2 linked regions of the Rattus norvegicus genome follow. The protein of the gene in region 1 purifies or fractionates together with the protein of each later gene. This does not show direct contact. Links are inferred from orthologs where the notes say so. Each region holds a gene or a part of one and is shown in the gene's direction. Other genes may lie near its edges. The genes, in order: Stk3 and Rassf3.

Evidence for each region.
Region 2: the proteins of Stk3 (region 1) and Rassf3 purify together in Homo sapiens (affinity purification with mass spectrometry; 4 studies listed by BioGRID and IntAct, with this or other methods). This does not show direct contact. The link is inferred for Rattus norvegicus from reciprocal best matches to the Homo sapiens genes STK3 and RASSF3.

Annotation. Positions count from the first base shown.
Region 1 is NC_086025.1:68,170,042-68,173,859, reverse strand, and holds part of Stk3 (serine/threonine-protein kinase 3), read left to right. Parts: intron 1-402; coding exon 403-483; intron 484-2,197; exon of another isoform or gene 2,198-2,218; intron 2,219-2,503; coding exon 2,504-2,632; intron 2,633-3,818. UniProt on the Homo sapiens protein: Stress-activated, pro-apoptotic kinase which, following caspase-cleavage, enters the nucleus and induces chromatin condensation followed by internucleosomal DNA fragmentation.
Region 2 is NC_086025.1:58,826,907-58,830,724, reverse strand, and holds part of Rassf3 (ras association domain-containing protein 3), read left to right. Parts: intron 1-1,819; coding exon 1,820-1,927; intron 1,928-2,760; coding exon 2,761-2,983; intron 2,984-3,818.

The DNA of each region.
Region 1 (3,818 bases):
GTAATAGGCCATATATCCTTGATTTGCTGAAGTACAGTCCATGGTGTTCTTATTGTGTTAAAATTACCTAAAGTATTTCTTGGAATGTACCCCCTTTATTAGGTGGGATATATGTTATTATCAGTATATAAACAACTGTATGTTGTTGAGTGGAAGCAGTGCATGAATTGCATATGTATAAAATGCCATCTTGTCTTTCTGAATGAGGGAAAGGAATGACCATCTGATTTTGAAGAGGTTTCTATTGGAGTCTGTTGCCAGGCACACAAGGAACATCCCTCGGAAGGGACTGTTGGCTGCACCTTTCATTGTACTTGCTTTTGGAACGTCTGATTATATTGCTTATTGCATTGTCTTTTAAAAAGCTTTTAAGGAAAGCATTTTTCTTTCTACTTTTATCAGTAAGCTAAAAAAGCTGAGTGAAGACAGTTTGACTAAGCAGCCTGAAGAGGTCTTTGATGTTTTGGAGAAGCTTGGAGAAGGGTGAGTAAGAACCGTGGAAACATCTTTTATATAAAGGTGGTGTTGTCTAGGCTCTCACCAGGGTATTTTTGCTGGAGTGAGTACTACTAATACCATGAAATCTGACAATTAGTGATAGGTATGGATAGTAACACTATCTTTTAGAAAAATCTCTCTCTCTCTCTCTGAAGCAAGAAATGTGCTGTAAAGTGATTTGTATGAGTTTTGGCCATCTTGTGCATTATCATTGGTAAACTTCATAATTTTGCCTTTCTTAGGCTAGTGGTTGTGGTTGTGTTTGGCACCCTAGGACCCATTTTATTTGGGAAAAGACCAGTAGAAGCTTTGAATTGAGTATCTTGAGGAAATAAGTATGTATAGGCAGGTGAATTGTTAACATTTCAAAATAATAGAGGAATGTATATTATTTGATCATGGATAAAGGTAGATAATAAGTATAAAACAATTATATTTGCAAGAACATATAATATATAACATTCCAAATATAAGGTGGGAAAAGTAAAATGAAGTATAATGCTCACTAAATGTCACATTAAAATATTAACTCTTCGGAGAAAATTAAAAGTAGCCAATCTGCTTTCATAAGCTCTATATAAAATTAAACAGGAGGATGTTTTTTATTAAAAATTCTATCAGAAAGAGTCAAACATATGGGTAAAAATCAAAGGAAAACAAAAGGAACAGTGCTTCTGTTGGGTAAATGAGAGGGAAAAGGTCCCAAGTGGACAGAGAAGTAGAGATAAGGATAGGAAGGGAAATCCTGTCGGATCATTTGGACAGACAGTACAGTAACTAACTCTGATGGGAGAGTCATTTGCTGAGTAAGTAGAATCTAGTAAAAATGGATATGTGATTTTGTCTTTTAGAAGTGGACAGATATAAAACTTAGAAAAGGATTAAATGTTATTAGCAAGTCTGATTGTAATGCTTATATAAAGTATCTGTTGTATTTAGTTATGGTCTCACACACACAAACAGAGGTATACTTTGCAGTCTTCCCTTTTAAGTATATGGTTAAAAACAGAAACTTGACAAATTATAAGATAGATTTTTACAAATCTCTTTTTCTGATACAGTTGGCTAAGTTAGACATAACTACAAAATGACAAAACATAGTGCACTGATTATAAATTGGGAAACACAATCCAAGGTATTCTGAAGGTTCAATGCTTGTAAAACTGTCAGGGTACCTGGTTTACTGTTAGAACTAAGTAGTTTTAAACTTGGTTTGGAGTACATATTAAGTTACAGATCACTTTTTTCTTCATTGCTTCTGCTCTGTAAAACACACAAGTATTTAGTTGATAGACATTCAAAAGCTAGAGTAGAGATTAAGTCTTCTGTCTCCTTTTATGTGACTACCCATGAGTGTGTAGTCTTTCTCTTGAAAGGTGATACTTAAAGAAGCCTTGAGAGACTTTGGTTGAGGATTGCCAACTTTTCTTAATTTAGTGTTAAATGGTTCACGATAGTTTGGTGTTGTACACATCTGCAATCTTGGTAATTTAAGATTGTCCTTGGATTATAGTATGTTTAAGGCTACATGAGAGCCTGTCCCAAAAGAATCAAAAAAGAAAAAAAAAGAAAAAAAAAAAAGGTTCACAGTGAAAGGTCCCTTGGGCTTCTGCTTGATTCAGTCTTCCTCTTAGCCCGAGACTTGGACTGTCTTTAACTTACTTTTCATGCTTGTAATTTCCTTTTCTGTCTTTTTAAGCTGCATTTGAGTTGACAAACCGTAAGTTAGCCTCCTGGCCTCCTTCCTATCTCCTCTGCCTCCTACTCCTTTCTTCCCATAAGAAAATAGCAACTCACTGTGTTTTTACTTGATAACTTTTAAGTTTGTAATTCAAGCAGTAACGCTCCTTCATGAACTTATTATTCCTTTACTTTTGTTTTTGACCATTATAATGATGATTTAAGCTAGAAAATGCAGTATGCAAAATATACATAAAAAGCTCAGTAGTCTTTAATACAATGCTTGATGTAAAAAAAAAGTAACATCTTGGCTTTCTTTTTTAAGGTCTTATGGAAGTGTTTTTAAAGCAATACATAAGGAATCTGGTCAAGTTGTTGCAATTAAGCAAGTACCTGTTGAGTCAGATCTTCAGGAAATAATCAAAGAAATTTCCATAATGCAACAATGTGACAGGTATGAAAGTATCTTAATTTCCTTGTGTTCATTTTGATGATGGCCATTAGTTACATAGTAAAATAGATTTTTTTGTTACCTATTTGTTTTTTCCTGCCTTCTTATTGGGAGCAAGACAAAAACTAAAGAGCCTGAGGATAATGTATAGACTTGTCCTTTGGCCTTACAGCTATTCAAAGAAATGATATAAAAGGATATATACAGGGAAGGAGATAACAGCCTGTCTCTCTTCAGGACAATTTATGGTTGAATATTAAGGTTTTGATATTTAGTGGCTCATTTTACATTATGTATTACATGTTTTTGGTTCTTTTTTACCATGCAGGCTTTCTTGTGTAGCCTAAGGCTAGTGTTGAACTCCCTCTGTAGCTTAATTTTTGTGTCTTACTACTTCAGCCTTTGAATTGAGTGATGGCATGATAGACATGTTCTCTATATCTGGCATATAATAATTTTTGTAAATCTGATTCATCAACAAGCACTTACAAAGCATTTCCTGTTGGGCAAATAATGTATCAGGATCCAGAAATACTGAGAAATCTAAGATTTTGTTTTTCTTCTTGAGGGGCTGTGGACTACTTGGGATGAAAAAGCATGGACAAAGAGCCCTGACTTAGAGTAGTGGGTACTGACTAGTGGGTACTTGGAGTGATAACAAGAACAAGAGGGCAGGGAATGTTTTTCAGCAAGAGATGATAGGCAGTCTGGAAATTGAGGAAGAATTTGGTGGAGAAATGGAAGGATAAAAGAATAAGAGTTTTTATCTAGAGAGGTGAAGAACAGTTCACTTGTTTACTGTAGTGGAAACTATGAGTCAAGAGATTGACAGGGAATCAGGTTGGATAGTAAGTGTGGCTGATGGTAAAGGGTTCTCTGTGCAGAGTCAATAGACATTGCATATGCAATGGTTTTTGTTCTGAGGGATGCAGAAGGCATAGATAGCAGTATGTGTAGTCTCTGGTGAGCTAGCAAAAGGGAATAGAGTTCTCCTTTGCTGAAAGGTCTGAAGGTAGGAACAATGTACTCTCTTCTTCCTCCTCTTCCTCCCCTCCTCCTCATCACTACCATCATAGTGCTGTCTGTATGTCTGGATTTGTTTTCTCCACTTCTCCACTGCAGTTTCCCCTCCTTCCTCTTCTTCCAGTCCCTCTCCCACATCTCCTTTCTTCCCCAGATCCACTCCTTC
Region 2 (3,818 bases), about 9.3 Mb from region 1:
GCCTGGCATCCTTGGCTCTCCAGATGCTACAGTTGGGATTGTGGGTACATGGATTCATCTGTCCTAGTTAGGTTTCCATTGCTGGGATAAGACGATGGCCAAAAGCAACTTGGGGAGGAAAGGGGTTTACATTTTCTTAGAGTTTGTAGTGCATCATCCAGAGAAGTCAGTGCATCAGAGCTCAAGGCAGGACTGATGGTGGAGGCCATTGAGGTCTGCTTACTTACTGGCTTGCTGTACTGTCTGGTCCTGTGTGTCAACTTGACCCAAGCTGGTGTTATCACAGAGAATGGAGCCTCCCTTGAGGAAATGCCTCCATGAGATCCAGCTGTAAGGCATTTTCTCAATTAGTGATCAAAGATGGGCGGGTCCGTTTTGGGCGGTGCCATCCCTGGGCTGGTGGTCTTGGGTTCTATAAGAAAGCAGGCTGAGCAAGCCAGGGGAAGCAAGCCAGTAGGTAACATCCCTCCATGGCCTCTACATCAGCTCCTGCTTCCTGCCCTGTGTGAGTTCCAGTCCTGACTTCCTTTGGTGATGAACAGCAATGGGGAAGTGTAAGCTGAATAAATCCTTTCCTCCCCAACTTGCTTCTTGGTCATGATGATTGTGCAGGAATAAAAACCCTGACTAAGACAGACACCTGGCTTGCTTTTGTAAAGTGCCCAGGACCACCAGTCCATGTGTGACTCCACCCACAGTATGCTAGATCCTCCCACATCAATCACCCAATCAAGAAAATGCGCCACAGGCTGACCCACAGTTGAGGGCAGTGGGGGGCATTTTCTCATTTGAAGTTCCTTCTTCCCTACCTCCTTCTACCCTGTGTCAAGTTGACATAAGATCAGGCAGGACAAATATGCATTGATTGGGATCTTCGAGGATTTTTTTTTTTTTTTTTCCGGAGCTGGGGATAGAACCCAGGGCCTTGCGCTTGCTAGGCAAGTGCTCTACCGCTGAGCTAAATCCCCAACCCCGATTGGGATCTTTAGATAATAAATTATTAGTGATTTCTAAAGGATCAGGAAAGAACTTAACCAGTAAGCATTTCCCCTTTTGCGTTATGGGGAAAGAAAGGCCGAAGAAAATAGGGTATGGGGACAAGTAGACAGCATGGTGGGGTAGAGAGAACCTGGTCACATGTTATTTAGAAGGTAAATATACCCTCTGGTAGTGGTGCACAGTCTGACAGGTCGGTTACTATTGCCAGTTACTTAGTATTCGTTCCCTACTTTCTGCTAGTGCGTACTGTAAAGCTGTAGAGACCATGGCATTAATAAAATGTACCTAGGAGAAGCTTTCGGTGTGCCAGGCATAGTGGCTCACAACTTTAATCTCAGCAGCACTCAGGAAGCAGAGGCAGGCAGGTTTCTGTTAGTAGTTCTAGGCCAGCCTGGTTTATATAGTAAGTTCCAGGCCAGCCAGGGCCGCGCAATGAGGCCCTGTCTCAGAAGTAAACATGAAGGTAAACGAATACCCCTTAGAGGTCGAAGTGCCCCGCAGCCTAGCAGATGTTCTGCAGAACTTTACTTTTACAGAAGGAATCTGGCAAAGGCAGATTTGCGGACTAATATTTATTGAAGTGCTGTTTCCAGTTGCTGGTGGATTGACTTCATTCCGCTACCCCTAGGAAGACGGGTGTGAAGAATGAGGCGTGCTTGGCAGATGAACCTGGTGTGCTGGCTGATAGACTAGAGTTGCCTGTGTCTCGGGGAGAAATGCGTCTGCTGCTCTTTTGTGAAACACAGATGAAACCTGGTTTATCTGCACCTTCCCCCCAGTGTGGTTCTTCATGCATGATCACGGACGGTTTTTCTTCTAGGATGTGGAGAAGGAGAAGGAAACACACAATTACCTCAGCAAAGAGGAAATCAAAGAGAAAGTGCATAAGTACAATTTAGCCGTCACAGATAAGCTGAAGATGACCTTAGTAAGTACTCCTTCCTGGTTCACCTGGCTCTCACTGACAGACGGCTGGGGGCAGGGAGCTGGCTAGGGACGGGGTATGAGCATGTGCGGATATCTGTCTGTCTGTCTGTCTGTGTAAAAGTACAAGCTGGCAGGGCTGGTAGGTTTGATCCCTGAGACTCGTGAAAAAAAGGCCAGATGGAGCGGTGCACATCTGTAATGCCAACACTCCTACAGAGAAATGGAGAATTGAGCTTTCAGGACCATTCTCCTGGAATACCCAAGAGCTGCAGTAGCAGCAGCCGCAGCAAGAACACAGTGAGGGACCCCGCCTTGACCAGGTGGGAGTGTCTGACCCACTGGGCACAAGGGTGTAGCAACAGTGCCATCTGCTGTGTCCCCTTGCCGCTGGGAATAAAGCTAGTCTATTTTCCTAGTGTCAACACAATGCTGACTTGGGTGTCTCAGAGCCCTCGCTGTGACCTTCCTCTCTGTGGAAGGTTGGTGTTGAGCACAGAGCTGAGACACGCTCCAGGCTTCAGGGCAGCTCTGGTCTGGCAGGCGCGGACCACGCAGGACAGTGTCTTCCTCAATGGGTGCTGATCCATCACAGGAAGCTTTGGAAGCACAAACCTCAGGGCTAGCGCTCCAGGACATCCTGGAGCATCCTCCACAGCATCCACCCTGCAGATCTTGTATTAATCCCCCACTGAGGGAGCCCCTCTCTGCTCTCTTTGGTGAAATCGTTTTCGAGACAAAACTGGGTAAAAGCTGTTCGCCTTCCCATGGGGCTTAGATCTGCTCCTTTCCCAGCCTGCCGACCGCCCACTCAGTATGCCTTTCTTTACTCTCCAGAATTCAAACGGGATTTACACTGGCTTCATTAAGGTGCAGATGGAACTCTGCAAACCTGCCCAGACCCCTGCCAACCCCAGCAGCAGTGGCTGCATGAACACGCTTCATATCAGCAGCACAAACACCGTGGGAGACGTGATCGACGCGCTGCTCAAGAAGTTTCAGGTGACCGAGAGTCCCACCAAGTTTGCGCTTTATAAGCGTTGTCACAGGGAAGACCAAGGTACGTGGCCACGCTTCAAATGAAAGCGGTCCCTCTGTTCCTGTCTTTCTTACTCATTAGCAGAAGGAAGGGCAGCCGAGAGGTGCCTCGTCAGAGGCCAGGGACAGAGTGTGGGAGCCACACTCTGATGTCAGACATTTATGATTGCGTTAGGCCTGAGGGGCTTTGAGGCATCTGTGTGCAGCGGGCATGCGTGGAGGATTTGTTGCTGGTATTGCCGCACAGAGGGACAGGTTTGGTGAGAGCATGTTAGCGATGAATTTAATGCCCTTTAACGCACCAAGGAACACTTAGGTGGTTGAAGTTTTCAGTGATGATTTACATTTGAAGCTCATGTACACGTGCTAAGGCTGGAGAGGCCAAGAGGCACACGTACAACTCACATGCAAAAACCAAGCAATGTTGACCCCAGGTCTGCTTGAGCCTACACGAATGCCCAGTGAATAGAGCGCACATTAGGTTACTTCAGGAAGCGGGATGGGATCTCCCGGGCAGCAGTTGGAATGGAAGTTGGTGTCTATAGTCCCTGCAGTAAGTAGCAGTAAGCCACTTAAGTTTTCTCTGGGAAAAGCCTTAAAGCAGCCATCGAAGAAAATGTACTGACTTTGACATGATAGGAATGTCCCTTAGCTACACAGGGTGACGCACAGCTTTTCCCAAGTGTGTACATTTGTTAAAGAAAGGCTCTTTGGAACAGAAAAATAGGCAAGTCAGAAGCCACGGGCTCAGCAGCCTAGCGAGGAGGGGCAGCTGCCAGGAAACTACAGTGCAATTGCATCTGAAGTGCTAAGGGACACAGGGAAGACCTGACGACATTTTTAGCTTGCCAGCAACT